Linked DNA regions of Macaca mulatta. The protein of the gene in region 2 interacts with the protein of the main gene of each other region in a pairwise test. Links are inferred from orthologs where the notes say so. Each region holds a gene or a part of one and is shown on either strand. Other genes may lie near its edges.

Region 1 (7,103 bases), on a different chromosome or scaffold from region 2:
AACTCTGTCTCCGGGGGGAGACACTTACTGCTCAGGAAATCCCAGGGGTTGAGGTGCTCTGCACCTGGAAGTAGGGTCAAGACCAAACACATATGTATCTATCACATAAGTGGCAAGCTGAAGACGATAGGGAGAGGAAGATAAAGTGGAGACAAGTGTATCTCTGTCTTCGTCTCTCTGTGCTACTGTAACAGAATCCCACAGACTAAGTGATTTACCAACAGAAATTGATCTCCGTTCTAGAGGCTGGGAAGTCCAAGATCCAGGCACCAACATCTGGTGTCGGGGGAGGGCCTTCCTGCCCCATCCCTTCAATGAGGGCACAGAGGGACCTACCTCCTTCCATCCAGCCCCTCAGAGCACTAATCCCATTCACTAGAGAGGAGCCCCCATGGCCAAGCCACCTCTTAAAGGTCCACCTTTTACTACCATACCACGGGCAACATGGGGAGGACATATTCAAACCAAAGCAGTGCTTTTTAAAAATCGCCCCAGAAAAGATCCTAAAAATCCAGGAAACAAAAAAAACCCATTCCGGATTGTCTATGGCTAATGACTTTGGGCCCAAAAGCTGTATTCCCAGGAATGATTTACTAAGGGACAGGAGTTTTATTATTAACCTACAGCAACGGGGTAGGAAAGGCACTTCCTGGAGAATGCAGCATGCTGTGTATCTACTCACATGTTACAGTTCTCCACTCAGATCATTCACCTTTTCAAAGAAAGATGGGGAGTGAGGTTGCTTAATGACCTTAGAAAACCTGCTCATAATCACAAGTAGTTTACTTCAAATAACTGTAGCATAATTAGGCCCCAGAAAGAAAGGTGCTGCTGTGGCTGCTGCAACAAAAGCCCTCCTTCCTAATCTCATTTTACCTCCCTCTCCTTAGGTTCCTCCCCCTCCTTACTTAGTTATAATTTACAGTGCTAACAAGACACACAGCCAGTAAGTCTTACCTCCCTTCTATATCAAGGCAGATGAGATTTTGAAAAGCCTAGACTATATTTACATCACATTACAAAAAGAAAACTGATAGGTCTATCTCAGAGACAGAAAACACTCCAACAAGAGTTCTTAATCCATGTCTTATTCTCGCTTTATGTAAAAAAAAAGAAAAGAAAAGAAAAGAAAATCATCTGACATTCAGCTTCTCTAGGTGCCCAAAGCAGTTCTCTCTCCAGTGACAGACTCCGGGGAATGCCTTCGATTCACTGCCCTCTGTATGTCCCCAGGGCAACTCCCTGGGTCCCATTCTTCAACATGGATTCACTGGCCACAGCCATGAGCCCCACGTGGAGTAAACACAGGGCCAAGTTCTCAAGGCCACCCTATGCCCTAACCTGGGATGACAATCTCAACTCTGGCTGTGAAGGGAGAATCACCTGTGGTATTTTTTCATTGTTTTCCAAAAACCCAGCCTCAGCCCACTCTGAAAGTGACTATTTGGGATGCTGGGGTGGAATCCAGAAAATAGACTGAAAAAGCTCTGGGATAAATGTCAGAAGAGAGGGAGGCAGCATCCCAGAAAAAAAGCCTTAAGCAGAGGCGCTGTGAACCCCAGAGGGAACTAGCACCCCCAAAACCATACAAAGGGCTTCTTCCCCAGAGGAGGTGGGCTCTAAGAAATTGCTGTTTTTACCTTTAAAGCTTCTCAGGTTAGTGTGGAGAGGAACAAAAGTGACTTGCCTGACAAAATATTTCAAGCATCAGGTCAGCCCGGTAGGTAAATCAGGTCCCTGGCTTCTAACGGCTCACTTCCCTCAACCTTCCCCCCTTGCCAGGCTCTCCTCCAGGACCCTGGCCTATGGCACGCAGCCTCAGGCATCTGGGCTCCAGGTATCCCACTGGTGCTTAATGCAGAGTCCTTGGCTTCTCCTTAAGTTGCCAGCCTTATCTTTCACTCCACCTCTAGAACCTCATTGTGACCATCTATGAAATGCAGGTCTTGGACAAGAATCTAGATGTCTGCAACCCCTTCAGGTCTCAAAGCGCACAATGCTACAATTCCGCTCCAAAATAAGTGGAAGCATCTTTTCCCCTATTACAACTTTACCCATGGTGAGTTGCCTCTGACAAGAGAACCATCTGCCAGTTGCAGACACAGCAGTAGGTGAAGAGCTGAGGGCTTGGATCATTAAATACGGAAGCTCCAGAGTAAATGGGCAAGCAGTTTACTGAACTGATGCCCTCCTGGTGAAGACAGTGGGTCCTTCAAGGAAGTGACGCCAAGCAACCGTGACCCGGTCTCATCACAGAATCCTACCTCTCCTGCATGTCAGCAGTGACATGCCTAGGAGAAAAAGCCAAGTTCTCGGCTGCAGTGAGCTTGATAATGATTGTGCTACTGCCCTCCAGCCTGGGCGACAAAGTAAGACTGGGCTCGTAAAAAATAAAGAGGAAAAAAAGGACGAATACGAGCATCCTGCGGGTCAACAACAATAGCCAGAATGATCAAGAGATAGAAAGGAACGGAATCAGCCCATTTTGCCGTCAACTCCTCAGGAAAAGCAGCTGGCCCCAGAGGGTACAGGCAGAGAGAGTGCTCGCTGCTTCCATCTGTGGGTCTGGCTGCAAGGCTCCCACAGTTCTCTGTTCCGAGGTAAACAAGGGGCAGTGAAATCAGAGGGGCAGAGGTGAGCGCTGCCTGGGCGAGCCACCGCTCCGCGCCGGATTTGCAGGCGGCTGGAGCCCGCGGGACAGGCCAACCCCGCCCACGCCGAGCCCACGGTGGCCCCGTCCTGACGCGCGGACACTCAGGGCGGCCCAAGGAATCGCCTACATGGGATCCACCCCGCGGGTAACTATCCTTTTACAGAATAAACAAAACAGAAAAACAAAAATCTCGCAACTCCGGCGCTGGCCGTCTTGCACTGCCAATGACTCAGCAGCCTGTGTAAGTTACATACTGGAGAGAGGACTGAGCCACCCCGGGGCCCCCTCCACCTCCCAGCGCCCAGATCCCCAGCCAGGCAGTGAAACGCACAATGTCAGGAGTAACACAACCGGAAAATGGGTGATTTTATGGCAAAGAGTTTATAAAAACATCCCTTGGATTTTATAACAAAAGTCAGGAAAACACCCCTTAATATATTCCAAAATAGTAATAACCAATGTTTAAATTTCAAGAGGAAAAATCCGAATTACAGGATTTTTAAAAATATGGTTCTAGGGCAGGCGCGGTGGCTCAGACCTATTAATTCCAGCACTTTGGGAGGCCGAGGCGGGAGGATCGCTTGAGCCCAGTTCAGACCAGCCTGGGCAACACAGACCCCGTCTCTTAAAAAAAAAAAAAAAAAAAAAAAAAAAAAAAAAAAAAAAATGGTTGTAGTGTTCAAATATATATATATTTAATATATTACAGTAACTAAGTCCTGCCTAGTAAAATTTTTTTTTGTAATAAAATTAGCAACTCACTGAATTTATGTGATACATGGTTTTAAAAAATCTCAATGAAGATTAAAAGTTCACAGTCAGAGGTTTCCGCAGCCCGTTCCCAAGCTTATTTACATGCTAATTTTGCTTAGTAAACTCTGGCTTCAGAGAACACAAAGGTCAGCTGCCACCAGGTCCCTCCTCCCAGGCTTGGGCCCTAGGGACCCTGGGAAGGCGGCTTCAATGTCCGCTTCCCTGAGCAAATGCTGTCTGGACTCTGACGCGGACCCTCCGGGTGGGGAGGGTCTCCACGCCACCTGGCTGTGCGTGGGGCAAGTCCTGCACCCCGGGCCTGCGTTTCCCGCTGCGCGAACGCATGGTCTTGCGAATCTAGCCAAGGGCACAGGGCGAGCCTCTACTCGGGCATTAAGCAGCCTGTAACGACTGAGTGCGGCACTGGCAGCGTCCTTGTGCTTGTGTTTTCTTAACCCGTAAGTAATTTAAAGCTTTGTTTTGGAACGACCCTCTAGTAGAACTGGAACATGCCCATTAAATGCCATATTTTAAAAACACTGTAACCCCCTCCCATCTCCGCCTTCACCCTTCAGGAAATCCTAAATCACCACGGATATAAACATTAATAACAAAATTAAAGCACATAACAGTCCACTGGCCACGCCTTGGTGTTTGGTCGTTAAAACCAATACGGGTCTGAACTACAGACCGCGGAGGGCAACGTGGACTTTGAGGCTTCTCGGACCAACTGCGAGACGCAGATTCACCTCCAGGTGGAATTCCAACTTGGCGGAGCTGGAGAATCGGGGCTTTCCCGTGCGGTCCGACCCGGGTCCAAGCCAACCCCCGCCCGAGCGGCGAGGCCGCGAACCCCGGGCAGTACGTGGGGTCCCCATGCCCCGGGCTCCGCACGCCCGCAGGAGGGGTGGGCACGGGAGGGGCGGGTGGCGCAGCCTCGCACGGCCCGCGATGTCCCCCAGGCCTCCCGGGCAACCTCCCTTGGCGCCCCCTCGGCCTCCCTCTGGCCTTCCTCCAGGCTTCCCCCCGCGCCCCCTGGCTCCCGCGCCGCCTCCCCGGCCTCACCCTGCAGGCTCTCCTCCTGCATGCCGGGCGCTCCGTTCTGCGACATGGCGCCGGAGGGCGACTGCGGCGATGGGAATCCGCGCCGGGCTGCGGGCTGCGGACTGCGATTCAGCTGCGGGCGCTGGGAAAGCGGAGCGCCGCGGCCAGCTGCGCTCCTGGACTGAGCCCAGCCCCGCCGCCCGGCGGGAGGAACTCACAGGGCGGGGCGGGGCCAGGCGGATCTGCGGCCGCGTCGCCCATTGGCCGCGACGCGGGGCCTGCGCGTGCGCACGGGCGTGGAGTGCGTGTGGCACGTGCGGCGCGTGCGCGGGGCGGGTCCTGGGGGGTGGGCGAGGGGCTTGCGGTGCGCGGGACGCGGGCGGGGACAGGGGCGGGACGAGGGGCGCGCAGGCGCTGGGGCTTCAGCGACCGCCTGAGGTGAGCCGGAACGGGCGGGGCGCCGCGGCCTCGTGACGAGTGGGCTGCGAGGTCGCCGCCGCGGTAGGCGGTGGGCCGAGTCCTTTTAAAGGGGCGGTGGGGCCGGTGGGCGCCCTGGGCACTCGCTATCACGGGGACGGCGCTGCGCGTCGGGGCGGGGCCGGTCTTTACATCCTGCGAGTGGGGAAACTGAGGCGCGGGGCTGGCAGCGTCCGTGCGGGGGGCGTGAGGACGTGCAGGGAAGCGGCCGCTGCGGCCCGTAGGGTCGGGACGGCCCGTGGGGTCCCCCGTGGGGTCGGGACCTGCGCCGGGGAGGGAGCTGCGAGCGGTGGCCGGAGTTGAGCGTCTCGGGACGGGGCCGCGCCCCCGGGTCTCTGCCCGCCCCGCCGGGGCGCCCCTGCGTGAACAGCGGGGCCCGTTGTATTTGGGGCGTCCGCCCGCAGGAAGAAGCGGAGGCTCGAGCAGGGTCGGAAGAGTCCCCGGAGGGAGACGCAGACCCAGGGGCCCGGGAGAGGCGCCGTCCGCCTCTGCGGCGAGGGGCTTCCGGGGGGCGAACGCGGTGTGGGGCGGGCGGTCCCCGGGGGTGGGCTGGGGCCTCCGCGGGTCACGCGGCGGAGTGGCGCTGGGCCAGGCCGGGTGGGTGCCGGGCTTCCGTGGGAGCCAGCCTGGCAGGGGGGCCTCGCGGCCTCGGGACCGGGAAAAGGCGCACAGTCTTCAGAGGAAAGTCAAGTTTTCTCATTTCCCGCTTTTGATCAAAAGTCTTCCTTTTTGAAAGCATTGTTGATCCAAATCCAAGTATCGAGGTGCGCCCCAGAAACGCTGCTTCCCAAACAGCCGTGCCTGGTTTTGTGGGGAAGGAGGACGCTTCCCGCCAAGGAACCAGGCGCTCAGAAGCTGAACCGAGGTCACAGCCGCGGAGCCAGACCTCAGTCGCTGCGTGTTTTTCATCGCTGCTCTTGCCTGTTGAATCGTCTCTAGTCTTTGGAGTGCCATGATCTTGGTTTTCTGAGAAGTAACAAACATCCAGAGGCCAAGGTGGGGCACAAGCCTTTCATCTCAGCACTTTGGGAGGCCGAGGCGGGAGGATCGCTTGAGCCCAGGAGTTGGAGACCAGTCTGGGCAACATGGCGAAACACTTTCTCTACCAAAAAAATACAAAAAAGTTAGCTGGGTATGGTGGCACCCGCTGTGGGAGGATTGCTTGAGCCCAGGAGGTAGAGGCTACAGTGAGCCATAATTAGGCCACTGCACTCCATTCTGGGCAACAGTGTGAGATCCTGTCTCAAAAAAAAAAAAAAAGTAAAACAGCCAGAGATAAATGGCATAACATGAGTAATTTCAATAGTAGAACTGTAATACTGGCCAGGCAGTGGCTCTTGTCTGTAATCCCAGCATTTGGGGAGGCCAAGGCAGGAGGGTCACTTGAGCCTGATAGTTCAAGACCAGCCTGGGCAACACACAAAGACCCCATCTCTATTAAAAATGTTACCAAGTACAGTGCACATAAGTATTACAATGAAAAAGAATGTGTGTGCCAGAATGGAAAAAGGAACCTATTCTAGGGAGTCAACCAAAAGTATTATGAAGAAAATTAAATGGAGAATTCTTTAGAATAGTGTAGCCAAGTGGCTTCTAATTTTTCCCATATGAGTTTCTACTTCATGGAAAGGGTATATGCACAAGAGGTATTTGCCACCATACATATACTTGCTTGCTCAGCTAATAATCGAAAGCAGTGCAATTGTCCAGTGCAGCCTCAGCCAGTGAGTCAGTAGCTTTTTGTTGAGCTGTGATGGAAGCAGCAGTTTCATCAACAATATTTCCTGATAGACCAGATATGCTCACAGTCATCCCAAGTAAAAGCAAACAAATACTGACTCTGGGTCCACTGGAATACTAAAGAAAGCACTGCATGAGTCAGTCATAGTCTCTCACTTCCAGATGTCAAAAGAGGATGGGGCTTTGGTACTACCAGGTGTCTGGGGATCACAGTGTTGAATGACAGTTCTCAAATCTTGTACAAAATACCAGCTCTTCCCATTCGGCTTCCTTACAGGAAGGACTGGAGTATTACATGCTGGTGCAAGGAATAATTAGACCCTTTTAATAGTCTTTTGTTATGGATCTTATTCCTTTAGTTGCTTCAGGCCTTAGCAGATATTGTCTGATATTGTTAAAGGATCGATCAGGTTTACTTCCACTTTAATGAAAGTGG
Region 2 (7,252 bases):
AAAATTAATAAAGTCCAATTTAGAACCGTTCAGCCAAGTGCATAGAGTACTTATAATTTCACCTTATTGTATATATGACAGGGATATATTACACTAAGTTAATACTAATATGTGTGCTTGCCTTAAATGTACAATCATTGAATCTAAGCATATTTTCCTTATACCCCTGCCCCAGGCCTCAGCACCAACAATTAACCCTCTTGAATCAAGATTCCATCCTTTAACTATGCCCTTGCCTGTGGTTTTGACAGCTTTGGTAGGAGTCACACTCTCTTCTAAAGGTGATTGTGTGGGTTGACTGTGGTTCTCTTTATTTCTTGATGGAAAGTAGCCATTCTCCAATGAGTTTCTTCCTGAATTGGGTCTCCAAATAGCTTCATATCCCAACAATAACAGTGACAGAAAAAAAGTCATTCTTCTGTGTTTGAAAATGAAAATCCCGAAACCCATATGTTATTGGAATAAAAGAATACATTATTGATTAATGATAAATAGATGATATATTGCTGTGGAGAAGTAAAGATGATTGATAGGATAGATGAAAAGAAATAAATAACTTTCATAACGGAGGTATAGTTAAAAAGAAATAAGAATGTAGAGAAGAAGAAATAGAACGAGGGAGGCAGCAAGAGGCAAATGTCATAGAGTTAACTGGACCCATGGCAGATTTGAAATAGCAACATCTTTCACCTTTCTTCTATTACTTAAAAATGAGAGGTCCTTGAGAAACTGCCCAGTACCTATAACATAGAATGCACTTGACTAAGTGCATCTGACTAATTAAGGAATGTCATGAAGACTCTCTGAAGGTGTTTAACAACAGATTGCATGTGATATAAAATCTAAAAAACAATTCATCCATTACAAAATACCGACTTAAGACCAAGTGCCTCAGGAAATTTCTGGTCTATGCAAAGGTGTTTATATTAAAGATCAGAAATAAGTTCCCTAAATAGTATGACTCATAAAAACAGCTTAATGTCTATTTAGTGAATTTATTTCATTAGGAAGACAGCACCATATTGTACTTTCTTCTTCAGCTCCATGTGTTTCCTTCCATTAATTTATTATCCTTTGGATTCTACAGCTTTGAAACCAGCTATGCAAGGGAGGTAGGAGAGCAATGTAGTTAAGAGTATGAGTTTTTTAGACAGATCGCCTAAATTTCTAATCATGGTCCCACCACTAACTAGTTTATAACCCTGGAAAGGAAAAATAACCTCTCAGTCTCTCACACCCTTTATAAGTGAAATGGGCATTAACAGCTCCAACCCAATACAGACAAAACCAGATTACATACAAATTAAAGTAGATTATGCATGTCAAGCCCTTAAAAGAGTGCCTGGCACATAATAATTGCTTACTAAATTGTCTGTTGTTGTTATTGTTGTTGTTGATCTTCTCCACCAAATACTCACCCATGGTACCCAGGACCACAGCTATCACCAGTATCACCAAGCATAGGATTCCCAAAATCACAGCAATGAGGCGCCAAGGAGGAGATGCAACACAAGATCCTGAGGAGCCAGAGGGGGCAGAAATGGAATAAAGAAAGAGAATGACAGAAGGTGGGGCACTTCAGTTCTACAGTTCATCAAAAATCTGGCCTTGCACAGTGGCTCACACCTGTAATCCCAGAAGGGAGACAGAGGTAGGAGGATTGCTTGAGGCCAGAAGCTCAAGACCAGCCTGGGCAACACAGGGAGACTCTGTCCCCACCAAAGGAAAAAAAAGAAGAAAGAAAAAATTTAACTAGCTGGGCATGGTGGTGAGCTCCTGTAGTCCCAACTACTCTGGAGGCTGTGGCAGGAGGATCGCTTGAGCCCAGGAATTCCAGAGCAGCATGGGCAACAGAGTGATACCCTGTTAAAAAAAAAAAAACAGAACACAAAACAACAATAACAAAAAATACTGGCAAATTTTAAAGTGAATTATTAATCACTGCCTAGGTTACCTAGTCATCAAGGATTCGCTGTGTTTTTCTCCACTAGTAAGAATACCTCTTCTTCAATTATAATTTCAGCACATTGCCTTGATATCTGTATGCTCCTAATTTCAGCTCCACATTGATATCTACAGGTCACGACATTAGTAGGATCCCTGAAATCCCACTGATTCTTAGAGGAAATAGCTTAATGTTGGGAAGAGAGCAATGATTACTAAGGGTAATTTTCCCTTTTCATATGTTTGTTGCATGACCCAGGGCAAATTACTCCCTTTGTTGTTTTTTATTCCTCTTTATGAAACTGGGGTAATAATATCTCAAAGGATTATTGTGGGAATTAAATGAGCTAACACGTATAAAAGCACCTCGTTTAGCCACTGCTAGCACATTATAGGTGTGTTGTTACAGGATACCGTTTGCCTATACATATGCATAAACATGCACATGTCTCCCTACCTCTTGCCTCACCCACTTTTTCCACCCTTCCTCAATAGGTTGCCCAAGAAAAGAATTACATCAGTACTGAGAGGAAAATATTTGTGCAATGTGAAGAATCAGAAAGCAGAAGAAAGCAAACTCTGGTGTCAAAACCAACAAATGATCTATCTCTCTCTCAAAGAAAATAGGGAACTAATTTTGTATTAACATTGCCATAACCAGAATGTATTTCTGCTTTCCAGTGAGACTAAGCTGTCAGGACATTTCATAGAAGTGTCACATAGAGTAGGCGAAATCACCCACTCTGTGAATACAGAGATCCTCCAAAGCCCTTCTATTTCATTTCGTTTACTTTTTGTTTAAGACTCATGTCCTGCCAATGGGATGTTTTTATCCACCATATATTAATATATTTTCCTTCACTGGTATACCAATAATTGTTTTTTGTTTAAAAACAATTTAATCTCTTACCACAAAAAAACATGTTGTTCATATATATACTTCTTTAAGTTTCCTGGCCTCCATTCAATAATCTAGCCTTTCTATCAAACAAGCAACAAGTCACTCATATGGAAATCCTTTATCTTTGTGTATTATCCCACTTATTACCGATTCCTCACTGATGAAATGTCTATATCTATATAAAATAGAAATTGTATTTTCTGCCATCAGACATAATTAATTTAAATACTAATAATTAGTCACTGAATAATTTTCATGAAAAAAAGTTTAGGGTGCATTCAAATTATCTTCATTGACATCTGAAGCCCTTTAAAAGTATATCCATAAAAATGTACACATCACAAGCCTCTCAAATTTTCTCCCCTTATATCTTTTTGTTTTGTTTTGTTGTTTGTTTGTTTGTTTTTATTTTTTTCAGAGATGGAGTCTTGCTCTGTTACCCAGGCTGGAGTGCAGGGGCGTGATCTCGGCTCACTGCAACCTCCACCTCCTGAGTCCAGATGATTCTCCTGCCTCAACCTCCCAAGTAGCTGGGACTGCAGGCGTGTGCCACCATGCCTGGGTAATTTTTGTGTTTTCAGTAGAGACGGGGTTTCACCACATTAGCCAAGCTGGCCTCAAACTCCTGACCTCAGTCAATCCACCCGTCTTGGCCTCCCAAAGTGCTGGGATTATAGGCGTGAGCCACTGTGCCCAGCCTCCCCTTGGATCTTTTCAAATGGGAGCGCTAAAGGCATACATTAGAAAAAATATATATATATACCTTTCTCTGAAACAACAGCTATCCTGGTATTGCTTCGAGAGTCGAAGTGTAATTGAGTATATCCATCTTCATCCAAATTTTCTAAATCAGGATGATAGTCCATTGTTCTTGAGAGCCCATGAATAGACATAGCATTTGGGAGCTCTGTTCTTTCTGCTCCTGAGATGACTGCCTGTGGAGGAAAGAGAATCTCTGAGTCAAATCATGTGGGATAGGTACTTACTGGGGTTTAACAAATTAAGCTTAAGTAGTTCAGCCAGATATTCAAGAGCAGGAAATGAAACTATGCTGTGGTAATTTTCCATTTGTACCTTTAGATCCTGTTTCTGAGACTGCTGACTCAGGAAAACTGAAAGGTAGCATAGCAGATAAGTCTTTGTTTCAGACCAAATGTAAGAAAAAATGCATAAATTAATGTCTTATGCTGCCTTCATTACTCTCACAACTAAATCTGACATTAATTAATTTAACCTATGCAAACTATTACAGTTTTGGTGCTCTAAGTTTACCATAACTTTGTTGTAACTTTGTTCATGTATGTATTCATGTATTTTTTAAATTACATAAACAGGTACTGAATATCCACCTTTTCAATTGGCGGGAGCTTAGAATACAAGGAAAAATGATACCTAAGAAGAAAGACATCGCCTAATAGAGGAAATATATAGACAGGTAAATGAGGGATGGCATGAGGAGGTGCATTGTTGTAACAACAGACAGAGAGACAGAGAAAACAAATCTCTTTGAGAATTATCAGATATTAATAACACAAAATAACAATTATTTATTGAACAATTACTATGAGTTAGGAACCACATGTTGCATATGTTTTCTTGTTCAATCTCACTTTTCCAAGTCTGTATAGTAGGCATTATTATTTCTATTTTCAAACGAAAAAATGAGACAGAAAATTTAGTCTCTTTCTCAGGTTTAAGAAGCTAATTTTAAAAATTTAGAGCAAGGAATCAAATCAAAGCTGACTCTTGCTGCAAAACTCATGATCTTTTCTGTTATGCTACACTGCCTCTTTCATCATTCCATACACTTATATTGCAAGGAACAGCTTATGGAAGGTGTTGGGACTGAAATATTATGCCAGATATTTGATTATTTTTCCCTCTCTTCCAGTTTCCATAGTAATGATCAAATCAAAGAAATATAGAAAACACCTAACATTGCTGGAAACTGAAGAGGTGTTCAACTCATTTACCAGATCTTGAAGCCAGTAGAGTGCAGGAGACATCTGTGTGTTGTCAAAGATCAACAAATCTGGATACTAGTTAATGTGGTGAGGACAGGTTTTATTCGGTAATACTATTGCAATAGGCAACAGCTGCACTGTTTCCTGTTGAACTGAACTCAACTTCCCCAAAAGTAAAGCCGATGACATTTTAAAGTGGAGTGTGCTAAGGAAAAGATACCGAGTGATGTTAAGGAAGGTTAATGTGACTAGACCCTCTGGATTTGTTAATTGGCCCTTATCCAGAGGGAAGAGAAACTTCGCCTCTCTATATGACAGAAGGACATGGTGATATAGTTGAAGTGAAGCACCCAGCTCAGTTGGTCCTTATGCTCCATATGAAAGAAAGAGCAAGATTTATCTCCCTGAATGTTTGCATTTCAAAGAAACAGCTCCCAAGTCCTTGAAGAAAGAGTTCTGTGTGGTAGATTTGCTTCTCAAAGGGCAGAGAAAGAATTTAACGGTAAGATTTCTTTTTCTTTTTCTTTTTTAGATGAAGTTTTGCTGTTGTTGCCCAGGCTGGTGTGCAAATGGCATGATCTTGGCTCACCGCAACCTCCGCCTCCTGGGTTCAAGCGATTCTCCTGCCTCAGCCTCCTGAGTAGCTGGGATTACATGCACCAACACGTCTGGCTAATTTTGTATTTTTAGTAGAGATGGTATTTCTCCATGTTGATCAGGCTACTCTTGAACTCCCGACCTCAGGTGATCCTCCCGCCTTGGCCTCCCAAAGTGCTGGGATTACAGGCGTGAGCCACCGCACCTGGTCTAACTGTAAGATTTCTAAAGTAACTGCTCTAAAAGGAATTCGGGAGCCTATCTGTTACCAAGTTTTGACTGGAACAAAAAGTAAATTCTCCTAGCAGCATTGGGCTTCCTTAGCTGGCATTTTAAGTAGAGCTGAGTCATCGTATGGACCTTGCCGTAAGCTGCTAGAAGGCATGCTAGAGTTTGCCAAGTCTCTAGTGCAGAGATTTGGGAGGAGTTGTTATATGATGAGGGTTCTGCAGTTCTCACGGTCTAACACCTATCAAAATGGAAGAGAGCTCAAGGAGAGTACATAAATGAGCTTCCCGCCTTACTTAAGCTGCCACGAAAGTTTTACTAAGTTTTTGTAGACATGTTGCAAAGTGGTAATGTGGATCTTAACCTCAACATTCATCAGTCTTTCAGTTCTATAATGCAGTGGTTGGAAGGCAACGTAGGAGTTTCAGGACACGCAGCCCCAAAATATGGATTCTTGGCATTTGAGAAAACAGCAGGATCAGGAAGTTCACTCTCACACCTTTCTGCATCTTTCTGCCCTGAAGCAGATCATAAGACCCTTATTCTAGAAGTATCCTTTCCCAGAGGAAAGAAACATCCTTATCTTTGAAGACACAGAGATGCCAAGAAGAATCTGAACAAATTAGCCTTGCTAAGTTCCCTCCGGTTTATTACCATTAGATCACACTCCCCTTGTCCAATGTAGGGGAGAAAAAGTAATATCTTTTCCTTGCCCATCACCAGGTTCATGACTGAGACGCCTACAGCAAAAGACAGATGAACAAAACAAAAGCATATAAATGTTTTATGACAAGAAAACCTTCTGAAATGAAGACACAGGACAAACTGAATATTTCTATGGACAGTTATGCAGAAGTATGATTGGAGAACAAAAGGGTATAATCTAATGGTAATAAGCTGAGTAGAATTTAACAAGGTCTGTTTGTTCAGGTAACTTCTATTAAATAAATTTGGATGCTATTCTCTTGTTAATCTATGTTTTATTATAGGTGCCATGAACCTAGCAATAAGTGAGGAAAAGGAATCTTTCACCTCTACAAAGGGATACCATGGAATTTCTCAAACAGTGAATAAATTGTCTCCAGGAAGAAGGGTCAGCCTCCTAAATAGAAATAGAGAAATAGAGAAATGGAGAAATGGAGAACAATAACAAGGGGAGTACCTTGCAGTCAGTAATAAGAAGCTGTCTTGGCCGGGCGCGGTGGCTCAAGCCTGTAATCCCAGCACTTTGGGAGGCCGAGACGGGCGGATCACGAGGTCAGGAGATCGAGACCATCCTGGCTAACACAATGAAACCCCGTCTCTACTAAAAATACAAAAAAATTAGCCGGGCGAGGTGGCGGGCGCCTGTAGTCCCAGCTACTCGGGAGGCTGAGGCAGGAGAATGGTGTAAACCTGGGAGGCGGAGCTTGCAGTGAGCCGAGATAGCGCCACTGCACTCCAGCCTGGGCGACAGAGCGAGACTCCGTCTCAAAAAAAAAAAAAAAAAAAAAAAAAAAAAGAAGCTGTCTTTACTATCAAATCAGGCCTCCAATGGGAGTCTTTCCCTGTAGTGACTTTAACTGTCTCCCCCTATTTAATCACAATCCTATGAAAACAGTTAACTCTCTAAGTGGTC
Region 3 (7,316 bases), on a different chromosome or scaffold from region 2:
TGCTTGAGGCCAGGAGTTTGCGACCAGCCTGGGCAACATAGTGAGACCTCATCTCTATTTTTTATTTTATTTTAATTAATTATTTATTTGTTTGAGCCAGAGTCTCGCTCTGTCACCCAGGCTGGAGGGCAATGGCGCGATTTCGGCTCACTGCAACCTCCGCCTCCCAGGTTCAAGCGATTCTCCTTCCTCGGCCTCCTGAATAGCTGGGATTACAGATGCCCACCACCACACCTGGCTAATTTTTTGTATTTTTAGTAGAGCTGGGGTTTCACCTTGTTGGCCAAGCTGGTCTCGAGCTCCTGACCTTGTGATCCACCCGCCTCAGCCTCCCAAAGTGCTGGGATTACAGGCGTGAGCCACTGCACCCGGCTATTTGTTTTTTTGAGATGAAGTCTAGCTCTGTTGTCCAGGCTGGAGTGCAGTGGCACGATCTTGTCTCACTGCAATCTCCGCCTCCTGGGCTCAAGCAATTCTCCTGCCTCAGCCTCCTGAGTAGCTGGGACTACAGGTGTGCACCAGCATGCTCAGCTAATTTTTGTATTTTTAGTAGAGACAGAGTTTCACCATGTTGGCCAGGCTGGTCTCAAACTCCTGACCTCAAGTGATCTGTCACCTCGGCCTCTTAAAGTGCTGAGATTACAGGCATGAGCCACTGCACCCAGCCTTCTCTCTATTTTGAAAAAATATATCTATTTTTAAGTTGTACATTTGGTCATAGGGGGTGTTCAGCTAGAGACCAAAACAGCTACCTGACCAGATTGCCACGGGAGTGGCTGCAATGGGTGCATAGATCTAGATGACACCTGAAAGCCTTTTTGTTTGACATGGTTATATGTATCTCTGAAATCAGCTTCCATCTGCTGACCAGCTGAAGTAAGGTACAAGAGAGAAGGTGGGCTTATCTCCCCAGGGCACACATTTGGGCCAGGGTAGAATCCGGAAAGCTCCTGACCCTGATTCTCCAGACATTCAGATGCCTAGGTTCTCTAGCACCATTCCCTCTCCCATGCCCACCCCCTGCCCCAACTTACCGGGAGATGGCAAAGAGACCAGTGAGCAGAGGGAGCAGTTTGAGGGTGTCCTGGGGCAGGTAAGTGGAAAGCACGGCCAGGTTGAAGAAGTAGAGGATAAAGAGCTGGATTGACTGGGCCACATATCGCCGGTGGATCTCCACTTCCCGCCGTGGCTCCCCAAAGGGCCGAAGGGCAGAAAAGCATAACAGGCTCAGCCCGTACACCAGGATCCCTGGGTGGAGTTGGGAAACACAGGGTAGGGTCAGAACAGGCAGGGTAAGGGCGCAAGAGGCAGTAAGCTGGGGGCAGGTTCACTGTGGGCAGTGCATAGCCTCTACACAGTGGGGTGGAAGTGGTCCTGGGAGGATATGGGCATGCAGACTGGCAGGGGGTGGGAGACCCTGAGGGGCCCAGGCCAAGTGAAGGGAAACCCTCCTGCTCCCCATGGCAGGCAGGCCCTGCCCTCCTCAAGTCCACTTCCCAATCTCCCCTTTCTTCTCACAGGCTCACCCAGCACAATGGGGAAGGTGGCAAAGACCCCGCAGCGGAGTGTGTAGATCAGGCGGGAACTCATGGTGGGCAGCCGTGGGACATCAAACGGCAGGAAGGCATATGCCCCATATAGTAGGCAGGGGAAGAGGATGAGTGCAGCTCCCACGGAGGCCACAGCCCTTAGCCACTCACGGTCTCCACAGCTCCCGCAGCCCCCACAGGAATGGCCAGGCGGCCTCACCACCGCCTCAGCCCACTTGCGCTCAGTGGGGTCGGGCTGGGTGGCCCGGGGGGGCATGAAGGTTCGGCACTTGCCCTCGCCTGCCTCACAGCGCATGATAAGATCTTCTTGGGGCCGCCGCTCAATGCACTGTAGGTCAATAGGCACGAAGGCACGGGCCGCTTTCTCAGGCAGCAGGTTGGCATCGTCTTCGGGCAGCTCCTCTAGCTTGGTAAGTGGCTCTGACTCAGGGGGCTCTGGTTCAATGTCCCGCCAGCCAGGGGGATCCGGGAACGGAGCACTGGGCTGAGGGCCGGTCCCCCAGGGCAAGGTGGCAGCCTCGCTTACTGTGCTGTCTAGACCATCCTCAGCCCCCTCTATGGCTGTGGGAGACCCAGCTGAAGACCCCACTCTGACGGACTCAGCTCCTGGGGATTCGGCCCCACCTTCCCCTTCTGGCTGCCGGCCATTGGGAACCAAGGCCTGGGGTGAGCTCTTCTCTGGGGAATCCGACCTCTTCACTTCCAGCAGGGCCAGGGTCTCCTGTTCTGTCATCCTGGGGCCTCAGTTCTGGGATCTACAATGTCAAGTCATCCTGCAGGGAGCAGAGGAAAGCTCTGTCAGAAACCCCTGTCTTCTAGTTGTTAGGACAGGTTGACAGAACTCATACTCCCCAGGGCAACTGGTTTCATGGGCTTTGGCCCCTTCTGGAGCCTTAGGGAGAAACTGGTACAGAGGAAGACGTTGAAACAGAGGGAGGAGGGAAGGAAGTGAGCAGCCGAAATGGAGGCACCCTTTCGACATCAAATGCCATCCAACAGGAGAGGGTGAGTCAAGGGGCACAGGCCCTGGCAGCTGTGGCCTCAGTCAGCCTCCACCCACGCCTTCTATGCCCCTCCACCAAAACCCCTGGAGTCATGGCCACCCTAATGCAGGAACAGGAGGCAGAAGAGGTGTCTAGAACTTTGCCAAGTTTCTTTCCTACCGAGGATCTTGCTGTATGTAGACAGAGAAGCTTCCCCTCCACTGTCCCATCTCCCCTTCTCCCTGCATATCCCTGCTTGGAACCCTCCTGCATTCCAGGTGAGACCAGTGATTTGCCAACTAATCTGTCCCAAAAAGCTGGCAGTTGCAGGCACCCTCTTCCTTCATTGGTACTTGGTCAGTTCCCAAACTCCTCACTAGCCCACCTCATCCATCTCTGCAGGGCCTGGATCTGTTATTCCGGCATTTAGGTCTGATCATGACTGTTTTGTATGCCTTCTCTCCTGTCTTTCTCCCCTCCCTGCTGCCCTTCATCTCATTGCTTCTGGATGGGACTGATTCCCTTCCTTCATCTCAAGGGCCCTCCAAACCTTGTAGTTTGGACCCAGGACATCCTCTTACTTTCCATATGGAGTGGAGGGTCCCCAGCGTCCATCCGTCTGTCCGTCTGTCCGGGAAGGAGCTGCCCAGCTACCTGCTGGCTCTGCAAGTATTTCTCTCTGTCTCCCTCCCTTTACCTGTGTCTCAAAACCTGTCTGACCAGAGCAGGTGGGGCCCAGATTAAAGGGGCAGGCCCCGCCCTGCTGAATCTGCCGACAAAAAAAGCATTAGAGGAGGATGTCGTCATTCTTTCCGAAAGTTGGGATGCAGCTGGGCAAAGAGGTAAGTTCACATTCTAGGCAACTGGAATGTGTAGGAGCTCCCAGCTCAGGAAAGCAGAGGGAGAAAAGTGGATTTGTGCACCAAAGGGTGCTCGGAGTAGGCTGGGATACCCAGAGATGGAATTTGTACACTTATTCATTCAGTAAATATTTACTGGTCACCATTATTAGCTAGGAACTATTCTAGGCAGACACAGAGGAGAACAAGATGACAGTCAAGGTCTCTGCCCTTGAGAAGCTTATGTTCTATTGGGGTAACAGATAATGAAGAAGCCTAGCAACTAAATCAATTAGACAATTTTTATAGGAAAGACCTCTTTGGTAAGGTAATATTTGAGCTGAAACCTGATGGGAAATCAGGAGTATGAGTGTTACAGGCAGAGGAACAGCAAGTGAAAGACCAATGGATGGGAAAGACTTAGGCTGTTTCAGGAACAGAAAGAAGATGGGTGGCTGAAGCCAAGAGCATAGCGGTAGAAGGGCAATTTATGTTCTCATTACAATTCGTACACAGGCAAAAAACAAAACAAAACAAAACACAAAAAACAAAACAAACAAAAAAACCCCTTGCTTTTAAACTTAGGTTTAAGCTAAAACAAGACAAAGCAGTCACGCTCCTAGCTGTGAGCCCACCTGCCCTGATATCCAATGTGAGGATCAGGAGATAGAAACGTGAGGGACTAGCTTCTCATTCCTATGAGTCCTTATCCCTAAAGTCATTTGAGCTTTGTGAGGGCAGGGATAGTGTCTAGCTTGCTCACCTCTCTGTGTCTAGAATCCTGCACTGTGGCTGGAAGACAGCAGTTCAATAAATGTTACTGGGTGGTAAGAGATATGCAAGCTGGAAATCTTTGGGAGGGGAGCTGAAGGGCCAAGACGCTTGTACAAGTCATTTCTTCCAGGGCTTTACTCCTATGTGATGCTCGGCCCTTTCCAAGGAAACTTTCACATGCACTTTTTGTTTGTTTAAATTATGGGGGAAAAGGGAAAGCTGGAGTCACTCTAACCAGTAATCTGAAAGAGGCTTGGTTCAAACGGGGAGGCGGGAAAGGGGCAGAAGGATGGACCAAATGACCACTGTGGGACAAAGCAGTCACCCTCCTAGCTGTAAGCTCACCTGCCCTGATCCAGTTAAGCTTTGGCCGCCTCAGTGGGTACACTGTCAGTTCTCTGATAGCTTTGCCAATAAAGTTTTTCGCAAGGGTTTGGAGAAGCCGGAAAGAGGCCATGCTGCCCAGAGTTAGTTCTGGCAACTTCCCGGGAGGGAAAACGAGTTTCGCGAGATTTGGTAGCAGCAGGCCACTGGTCCGCAACTGTGCGGCTGCCATCGCGAGATTTGCCAGGCGGAGGAGGAGCTGTCGCGGGCAGCCGCCTCACAGCGATGGCGGCCGAGCAGGGCCGGCGGCGGCGGCGGCTGCGGCTACGGCCGGAGACGGCAGTGGTGGTGGTAGTGGTGGGTGGCGGGGGCCTGTGACCGGGAGCTGCCCCCGGACCCGGGCACCATGAGCCAAGGCCCCCCCACAGGGGAGAGCAGCGAGCCCGAAGCAAAAGTCCTCCACACTAAGCGGCTTTACCGGTGAGAGGGGCCAGGGCGTGAGAGCAGCCGCCAAGGGAAGTGGGGAGACGGCGAGGGGCGGGGCCTCCCGGGCGGGCGGGGCCCCTGTGTCGGGGTAAGGTGCAGGCGAGGAAGGAGGATGCAATTTTGGAGGCGGGGCGGGGTCCCGTAGTAACTCAGGATGGAACTGAAAGGAGGAATTGGGTGGGTGGGAGGTTTGGAGGGAAGCACGTGGAGGAATCCCCTCTGCAGTGAGCTTGCTTGGGGCGGGCACTAAGCTTTGTGGAGTTCGGGTAATAGGGTGAGAATTGAAGGCTGGAAGGGTTGGGTAGGTGAAGGTGGGGTCATAGGTGTAGAAAAACCCGGAAGGGAACGATGCTTGGAATCCTGTGGGATTTACAAGGAAGAGTCTTGGACTAAAGTCCGTAGAGCTAGGCTTAGGTCCATCCTTTGCCACTCTCTCACGATGTGACCTTGGGCCTCAGTTTCTTTATCCTTAAAAATAAAGATTTGAATTGGATGTGCTCTAAATTAGAGTCCCATACAGCTCTAATTTTGAGGAGTCTGAATGAGAAAGTCTTGGCCTGGAAGGGCCACGAACGACTTTGTGTACAGAGCGTTCTTGGGATCTGGGAGGCAATTCCGGGCACCTGGGGACTCCTGAGTCCTGCCTTCCTCCCAGCCTCATGACTGTAGTCTCTTGCCAGGCAACTTCCGTTCCTGGTTTTTGACTTCCATAATGCCACCCACGCTTCACAAGTCACATCTTCAGCCCTTCAGCCCTCTGTTAGGAACAGGCCCGAATGAGCTCTTCCCATCGAAGGTGGAGAATTTGTTGTGTAGGTCAGCTAGAACATGGGCTCCATAACTGGGTCAAAATAGGACGAAGCATGGAAACTGAGTTTTGTGCTTTCTACTACAGAGTCGAGTTTGGGGTTTTCATTTAGCTTGGGCTTTATAGAACACGGATGCTTGCATGAGAAGAAGACCCTCAGAGCCTTGGCCCCGTTTTGGCAGTGAAAGAGTCAAGAGGGCATGTTGTCTTTTCCTCTGAGTAGGCATCCTGCCTTCTCTGGCTTTGTAAGCCAGAGGCAGAGGGGACTATAGGCTACTCCAAAAATAGAAAAGTGATTCAATCTAGCGGCCCCTGGGCTCCCACTATGAGCTGCCCCAAGCAGTCCCCAGGCGGGTGAGGAGTTGGCTAGGGGCGGCACGTGTGCCTCATCATGCTGCCGAGTGTCAGTGCTGCCAGTCAGACAGCGCGTGGGCAGTGTCTGCAGTATTCCTTGTCTCTAGCATTTAGGGATGGCTCTGGTCATCCTTCCAGTTGTCGTTAAATGTAGTTCTTTCTTAAACCACTACATTCACAGGACTAACCTAAGCTGATGTGTTTGCCTATGTGGCTTACCTATGTGCACATGGGTGTAATTGTGTTGTTGACTTTGAGCAGGGTAGAAATTTGAAGCAGCCAATCACTGTTTTTATAATTTATTATAGCTGGGTGATATGTGGAAGGAACTAGGAGGAAAGTCTGATTTCTCTGCTCAAGATAAATGTGTTGCTAGACTGGACTTGTCACTCTGAGCATCAGAAATTTGGGGAACTCCCACACGTAGCTGTTTACTGATATGAAATTCTGAAATATTTTAAGTCAGAAGAAAGGGCAGCAGGAGAAAGGAGCCTGGAAGCACCAGTTAATTAGGCCAATTCATTAGTTCTTTGTTTTTAAAAACATTTTTGTTTTTGCTAGGCCCGGGAGTGAATGAAACACACGACTAGATTTTGTAGTTTTTGTCCTAAGAGAGATTATAGTTTAGTGGAGGAGCTTATGATCTGACGGAAAATGAGAAAAAAGTGGTGAGCCCTCTCATATTAAAGCATCTGCAATTAGAACTTCCCAGAGTGGTGGTGATTTACCTTCTTTTGGATTAATGATATAAAGAGAGCTATGGAGCTTTTCTATAAAAATATACACTCACATTAGCTCTTTCCATGGCACCAAAGATAAAAGCCCTGCCCTGGGAACTGAGCTGGTATAAAGTAAATCACTAGTGCTGCGCCTGGCATCAAGGGCCAGGTTGGCCAAAAGGGCTTGGCATGCATCTCTAGGCTGTCCAGTTTGAAGAAACATGATTGTTTGTGAGAAGGTATTGATTACCATCCCACCCGCTCCGCTGGGTGCTGGCGGTCACTTCACCCTGTGCAGGGCAGCTTAGTAGTATGCCTCCTGAGCCACCACCACCACAGGGTGCCAACTGTTGTGGCCCACTTTCCCCAGCCTGGGAGCACCTCTTGGTTTGTTTGGAAATCTTCGCTGTGTTTTTGTTGCTTTTGTGTCCACAGTTGTGCCTGATTCACATGTTCTTATAGCTCCTGCCTGATGTCTT
Region 4 (7,157 bases), on a different chromosome or scaffold from region 2:
TAATTCTCTTTCAAAAATATCATCTATGGAAATACATAGTGGGTGCAGAGAAAGTTATGTACATAGGCATTAATTAAGAGGCTACATATTAATCTTTTGAGTAACATACAAAAAAACAAATATGTCTTCCTCAACAGATGAAAAACACATCCGTTTCCCATCACCTGATTCATTCCTGATTTACAGCCTCAGAATTTCTTAGTGTTCTAACTCTACCAATCCTCACAAAGTCCCTTTTTACTTGCAAAGGAAACAAGGCTAGATAAGAGGTTTGTGCTGTCCAAGCAACACAAAGTAGAAAACAACCACAGAGTGAATTCTCTTCCTAATAATCAAGCTTGCAAACTAAAAGCTGGAAAGCTTTCTCTATTATTTAAAAGACTTTACAAACTAAGAGCCGTTCCTTACGCCAATTTGTACATAATATGCAATGACATGAGGTATTTTCTGGTTTGGGTTTTTGGGAATGACTAAGAGATTCAGAGAAACTTCTGTGAAAGCTTCTCCATTCTCTAATATAATAGATCGTGAAGGGTGGTCCAATAATTGTGATTATACTCATTGCTGTATGTTGCATAATCTTTACAGTTTTATAATCACTAGTTCAATCCTCTCTCAAGAAGAAGAGGAGAGGAGCTTTGGGACAAGGGGAAGAGAGAATGAAGAGTATTTCTCCTCATTTTTCCCCCTAACTTTTAAAGGCCCACATGTAACTCTTTTCAAATTTCATTATGTTTACATTCTTTCCTCAAAGCTTTTCATTCATTATTGAAAGGAATCCAGACCAGGCCAACAAGAGTCACTGGCATTCTTCTTAAAAAAAAAAAAAAAAAAAGTTGGTCTTTTTGCAGAGAAGTATGTATTTACACACAAATTACATAGGTATTCAAAACATTATGAGGCAGTGACAATACATGAAGGTCTTAACAGCACTCTTCATAAACCGGAAAGCAAGGACATCGTGCTTGAAGACGTTTCTATTTAAAAAAAAAAAAAAAAAGGTTTGTGACCAGCTTGGGCAACAAAGTGAAACTCCATCTCTACAAAAAATAAGTTAGCTAGTGACCAGCCTGGGCAACGAGGTGAAACTCCAACTCTACAAGAAATAAAATAATTAGCTGGGTGTGGGGGCGTGCACCTGCACTCCTAGCTACTTAGGAGACTGAGGCAGGAGGATCACTTAAGCCCAGGAGGTCGAAGCTGCCATGAGCTATGACTGCACCACTGCACTCTAGTTTGGGTGACAGAGCAAGACCCTGTCTCAAAAACACAAACAAACAAACAAACAAAAAATTTGAAAAGAAAAAAAAGGCTGTATTTCTCAATAACAAGAATTACACTACGACTTATACTACTACTTTGATTTTCCTTATTCGACCAATTGACTCTTATTCAAATATTCTTAAGGAAGTTGATAGTTTTCTTAACAATAAAACAAACTGGACAACATCCTTTTGACTTGGAAGGAGTTTGGGTATTTGCCCTGTAATTTTTAATGAAAGTGAACAGTCTCTCCACAGCGGTAAAGTTAAAAAAAATCACAGAAATACTTCATTATTCAAATATTTCAATAATTTGCCATTGAAACTCTGCTTTGTTCCCTGAACCAAAGATAAAAAGTCCCAAACCCAAGAAAATCTGTACATTTCATCTCCTGTTTTTCAGTTGTGCAACTTTACCCAACAAAGTCCTTCAACTTATCGCAATTTGGATAGTACTAGGCGCCTGAATAAGTTGTTTTGCCCAATGCCCAAAAATCACTTCAAGGAATCAATGAGGCTTCTTGTTTTGTTCAGTGCAGTGTTGTGTAATGAGCTAAAAAAACGAACAGAGTTAAGAGGAAAGAGGGGAGTAATTAAATATGGCATTATCTAAAAGCTTTTCAGAAAGCTCACCCTATCCCACGTAAAATATTTTCTATCTAGATTTCCCAAAGCAACATTTTGATATCCCATGCAGGCTGAGTACTTCCACCTCTGTAAGAGTTGATGTCAACCAAGCAGGAACCGACTGGCCAAAGACATCAAACTCCTCATAGGTCTGTCAGACTCCAAGATAAACAATGACATATGGCTCAGCCCTTTTTTTTTTTTTTTTTTTTTTTGAGACAGAGTCTCGTTCTGTCACCCAGGCTGGAGTGCAGTGGCCCGATTTCAGCTCACTGCAACCTCTGCCTCCCGGATTCAAGCGATTCTCCTGCCTCAGCCTCCTGAGTAGCTGGGATTACAGGCGCCCGACAGGCCAGCTAATTTTTGTATTTTCAGTAGAGAGGGGGTTGGTCTCTCACCATGTTGGCCAGGCTGGTCTCGAATTCCTGACCTCAAGTGATCCACCCGCTTCGGCCTCCCAAAGTGCTGGGATGACAGGTATGAGCCACCACGCCCTGCCTGGCTCAGCCCTTATTGTTGTTGTTGTTAAAGGGTCAAAGGAAGATGAAAATCCCTTAGATTTCAGTGAAATCATGTACACCTACCAAGTATCTTCACTCATAAGAAAATTGCACAATTAAGAAACAGAATACTAAAAAGAAACAGAAAGGTGGGCCACCTTTGTGAATTAGGTAGAATAACACACTGACAAAATAAGACACACAGACCAGCAGGAGGTTCTGGACCACTGAAAAGAAGTCCTGAAAAGAGGCCGGGTGTGATGGCTCAAGCCTGTAATCCCAGCACTTTGGGAGGCCCAGGCGGGCTAATCACGTGAGGTCAGCAGTTTGAGACCAGCCTGGCCAACATGGTGAGAGACCAACCCCCTCACTACTGAAAATACAAAAATTAGTCTGGGTTGGTGTCGGGCGCCTGTAATCCCAACTACATGGCGAAACTTCGTCTCCACTAAAAATATAAAAATTAGCTGGGCGGGTGGCAAGCATCTGTAGTCCCAGCTACTCAGGAGGCCGAGGCAGAAGAATCGCTTGAACCTGGGAGGTGGAGGTTGTAGACAGAGCGAGACTCCATCTCAAAAAAAAAAAAAAAAAAAAAAAGCCCTCCCTGAAAACAGCAGTAGACAGGCTGAACATGACAACCTCCGCTTTGCTCCCAGCCAGTTGTGAACTTGGACCAGGCTCTTAACTCTAGACCTGTTTCTCTACAGGTAAACAACAGGAGGCAGTTAGCTAGCTCTGAAGTTTTTCCCATTCTCAAACCTAAGACAGTATGCTAAACATGGGCAAATAACTTAAAATTGCATAGGAATATGTGATACGAGTAACGTTTAATGACTCAGACATTCATCCTAATTTACTGTGGGAAATAACATAACCGTCTTACATTCTGGAATGTAGGACACTTAAAGGTTTTGGGTATTAACCCATCAAAAAACCTGGAGCAGCAGCATCCGTCTTAAAATCTCCAAACTCCGTTGCTACCTGGTGACGGCTGAAACTCTCTTCCCTAGAATAATCTTCAGGCCACGCTGGAAGCATCTCCCTCTTACGAAAGATACTGCATGACCTTTAAGCATCCAAGCGGTTTTGAAAAGCCTTCATCTGGCCATATGCTCGCTACCCCCATTATCTCTTTCCCAAGAGTTGAATTAAAGAAAGGTTAGGCAAGAACCCTTCCAAGAAGGCTCCCGGTTCTCACGACCAGGAACAATCTGAGGACAAGATGTCTGGGCAGTGGAATGTTATGAAAAGACCCTGGCCTGGGTTGTCCATCAGCCTTGCCCGTTAACTTTCAATTGCCCGAGTGCGTTTTTAATTCCGTTTCTTTAAATGCATGGCCCCAGACTCCCTGACGTGTGCAGTCCCGGGTGGTTCAGGAGGCTGCTCTCAGGTTTACTGGGCGCACAACCTCATCGCTTAAAAAAAATCACTTGGGCAACTTCGAGAAAGCTAATAAAAAAAAATTAAAAAAGGAAAAAGGAGAAGCAAGGCACAGCCTCTCACCCCACACGTGACTGAAGCCCCTAGACCAGCAAATGAATTTTCCTGACAAACATGTGGCAACAAAGGAATGCTCGCTGGGGGCTCCCGAGCCCGCCAGACGCTGCCCGCCCGCGGGCCCCGCACACCTGATCCCAGACACGTCCCGCGGCATCCGCCCGCCCCGCCCCGCTCCCGCGCGTCCATCCCCCGGCGTCCCCGCCGCACGTCCCCATTCCGGCCCACGTCCCCTCCGCGGCCCGCTCCGCCCACCTGGCCTCCCCGCCCCCCAGGCCCGCCCCCGCCCCGCCCGGCTCCGCTGCTGGGGACCACCCCCAGCACCAGTGGGATCCGCGCTACCCGCGCCGCTCCCGGACCGCGAACCCAAACGGCCCCGGCCCATGACCCCAGGAGGCAACAGAGAGGCCCGGAGCAAGGCAGGCGCCCATCCTCCTGACAGGTGACGGGAGCTGTCAGTCACCCGGACATCACCGGCCTGGGCCAATGAGCTGCCTTCTCCTCCCGCCTCCCGCGCCGCGCCGGTGGCGGCGGCCGGGGCGGCTCCTCCTCCCCCATCCCCTTCACCAAGCCCTCGGCCCCTCACTCACTATTGAGGCCGGCCGGCTGCGGCAGAGACTGGCCACTTTCCTCGCAGTTGTTGTTGTTGTTGTGCAGGGGCGGCGGCGGCTCGACTAGGTGGGACGACATCGTCGGACAGCTGGCAGGGCTCCGGCAGCAGCAGGACCGTCTCAGGCTCTCAGGCAGCAACACAACAAGCCGAGTCCCCCGCCCCCTTTTCTGCGCCTGCGCTGTCCCTCCCCTGCCACTGACGTCAGGGTCCGCCCAGGCCACGTGATGACAACACAACAAGCGACCGGACGGGGCGGCGGCGTTCCCCTGCGGGTCCCGGACGTGGAGACGCGCGAGTCAAGCTGACGCGCGCGCCGGGAACGAACTCTTGCGTGTGACTTGGGATGACCGGATGGGATGAGTGATGACAATGGCACTGCGAGAGAGGATGAGAAGAAGCGGAATGAGGAAGTGCGCTCCTGTGTTAGCGCCCGTGCCTCCTCTCACACAGGCTCCATAGTGCTTCATCCAGCCCTGCACATGCATCTGTTTTCTACTGCTTAGGACTCACTCCTGCAATAGGTGTCTTGGGGACACAAAGGAAGCCCCAAACCCAGGTGCTTCCACTTGTAAACTCCAAATAAAGCTGCTGAAACATCAACACTCCATACGGGAAACAAGGGAAGGCCGCCCCCAAATTTAATTGTTATAGAATTTTTAAAATGTCGATTACAAACACACCATCATTGTAAAAAAGAAAGAGAGAAAGAAGAAAGGGAAAGAAATAAAAAAGAGAAAAATTCAGGAAAAACAGAAGAAAGCAATCACCCAAATCCCATCGACTAATCGATTTCTGGGACATGACGTGGGAAGCCGTTTATCCTGTACGTGGATGACATTTAACTATTTTCCTGAGCACACCTCCTACTTCACGTCTCCATGTCTTCGCCCTGTCTCCTTGGTCTGATTTATGAGTCACATATGTTTCTCTCAGTCTCTGACTTGTCTTTTAATTTTTTTTTCACTGTGTAGAAGCGTAAGGTTTTCATGTAATCAGATTTATCATTCTTACATGACTTGGGGAGACTTTCGCACCAAAATAATTAATCTATAATTCCCTTATAACTTTTTCTAATTTTCTTATAGGCTTAAATTTACATTCAGAGCTCTAATCCATCCGAAATTTATTTTCCATATGCTGTAAATGATTTAAATTCAATTCTCAATTTTGTAGCCCATTGACCCAATAATATTAATTTTAAGCCATCCTTTCTACCCTGATTTGAAATTGTACCTTTGTCACTCTCTGAATGCCCACAAAATTGTGAGTCTGTTTCAGGGCTATCTACAATACCTCTGTTAGGTAACTATTAAAGTTTCTCTTCGTTTGTCTTTTTCAGATGTTAATGACTAGTTACTCTTCAGATGAACTTAAAAATGGACTTGTCCAAGATTGACCATGTATTGGCAATTATTGAAGCCATGTAATGCATTATTCTTCTAATTTTTAAATATATTTGAAAAATTCCATGCTAAAAGGTTTTTTCTAAGGATTGATTTGTCAAATCCCTTTGCAAATTATTTTAAGATTTTGGTCAGAAATGAACTCTATTAATAGATTGAGTGCTGTTTCCAGTCATACCTGGAAGCAGGAGTTCAAGCCTCAGCTGGTAGGGATTGGCGGCTGCTGGCCATCTGAGTTTTTAAAAAACTGCTTGCCGTGAAGCTAGTCTGCAGCCAAAATGTCCAGCAGAAACAACAACAAGCTGCCCAGCAACCTGCCGCAGTTACAGAGTCTGATCAAGCGAGACCCACCGCCCTACATCGAGGAGTTTCTACAGCAGTATAATCACTACACATCCAGTGTGGAGATTTTCAAATTGCAACCAAATAAACCCAGCAAAGAACTAGCAGAACTGGTAATGTTTATGGCACAGAACATCCTAGATATGTGCATCTGAATAATAGGAGAGAAAGAAACTTCAGAAGAGCCTGTGCTTTGTTACAGATTAGTCTCTGCTACACAGGGTATCTAAGTAATTTTCCTCAAGTGGTGAAAGATCTTCTGTCCTGTAATCATACCGTATTGGATCCAGATCTTCGAATGACGTTTTGCAAAGCTTTGATCTTGCTGAGAAATAAGAATCTCATCAATCCATCAAGCCTACCAGAGCTCTTCTTTGAACTTCTATGTTGCCATGATAAGCTTCTGCAAAAGACTTTATACACACATATCGTGACTGATATCAAGAATGCAAACACAAAACACAAGAATAAAGTGGATGTAGTGTTGCAAAATTTCATGTACACCATGTTAAGAGATAGCAATGCAACCACAGCCAAGATGTCTTTAGATGTTATGACTGAACACTACAGAAGGAACATCTGGAATGATACCAAAACTGTCAGTGTTATCACAACTGCCTGTTTCTCTAAGGTCACCAGGATATTAGTTGCTGCTATGACATTCTTTCTTGGGAAAGATGAAGATGAAATACAGGACAGTGACTCCGAATCTGAGGATGACGGACCAACAGCAAGAGACCTGCTAGCACAATATGCTATAGGGAAGAAAAGTTCCCAAAACAAGAAAACATTGGAAAAGGCAATAAAAGTGCTCAAGAAACAAAAGAAGAAGAAAAAACCAGAGGTGTTTAACTTCTAGCTATTCACTTGATTCATGATCCCCAAGATTTTGCAGAAAAACTACTAAAGCAGC

Evidence for each region. The genes of interacting proteins can lie anywhere in the genome.
Region 1: the proteins of CLEC7A (region 2) and BNIP3 interact in binary tests that used the Homo sapiens proteins (3 or more experiments, as listed by UniProt). The two-hybrid records come from large-scale screens. The link is inferred for Macaca mulatta from reciprocal best matches to the Homo sapiens genes CLEC7A and BNIP3.
Region 3: the proteins of CLEC7A (region 2) and TMEM79 interact in binary tests that used the Homo sapiens proteins (3 or more experiments, as listed by UniProt). The two-hybrid records come from large-scale screens. The link is inferred for Macaca mulatta from reciprocal best matches to the Homo sapiens genes CLEC7A and TMEM79.
Region 4: the proteins of CLEC7A (region 2) and BNIP3L interact in binary tests that used the Homo sapiens proteins (3 or more experiments, as listed by UniProt). The two-hybrid records come from large-scale screens. The link is inferred for Macaca mulatta from reciprocal best matches to the Homo sapiens genes CLEC7A and BNIP3L.

The regions. Positions count from the first base shown.
Region 1 is NC_133414.1:144,069,179-144,076,281, forward strand, and holds the start of BNIP3 (BCL2/adenovirus E1B 19 kDa protein-interacting protein 3), read right to left. Parts: upstream 4,634-7,103; 5' UTR 4,518-4,633; coding exon 4,472-4,517; intron 1-4,471. UniProt on the Homo sapiens protein: Apoptosis-inducing protein that can overcome BCL2 suppression. May play a role in repartitioning calcium between the two major intracellular calcium stores in association with BCL2.
Region 2 is NC_133416.1:10,420,729-10,427,980, reverse strand, and holds the start of CLEC7A (C-type lectin domain family 7 member A), read right to left. Parts: upstream 3,888-7,252; 5' UTR 3,739-3,887; coding exon 3,609-3,738; intron 1,518-3,608; coding exon 1,419-1,517; intron 375-1,418; coding exon 237-374; intron 1-236.
Region 3 is NC_133406.1:110,642,342-110,649,657, forward strand, and holds the start of TMEM79 (transmembrane protein 79), read right to left. Parts: upstream 4,634-7,316; 5' UTR 4,492-4,633; intron 3,249-4,491; 5' UTR 3,115-3,248; intron 2,324-3,114; 5' UTR 2,284-2,323; coding exon 1,527-2,283; intron 1,249-1,526; coding exon 1,035-1,248; intron 877-1,034; exon of another isoform or gene 722-876; intron 1-721. Other genes in the region: nonsense-mediated mRNA decay factor SMG5, read left to right, coding at 4,877-4,950.
Region 4 is NC_133413.1:28,122,492-28,129,648, reverse strand, and holds the start of BNIP3L (BCL2/adenovirus E1B 19 kDa protein-interacting protein 3-like), read right to left. Parts: upstream 4,634-7,157; 5' UTR 4,577-4,633; coding exon 4,477-4,576; intron 1-4,476.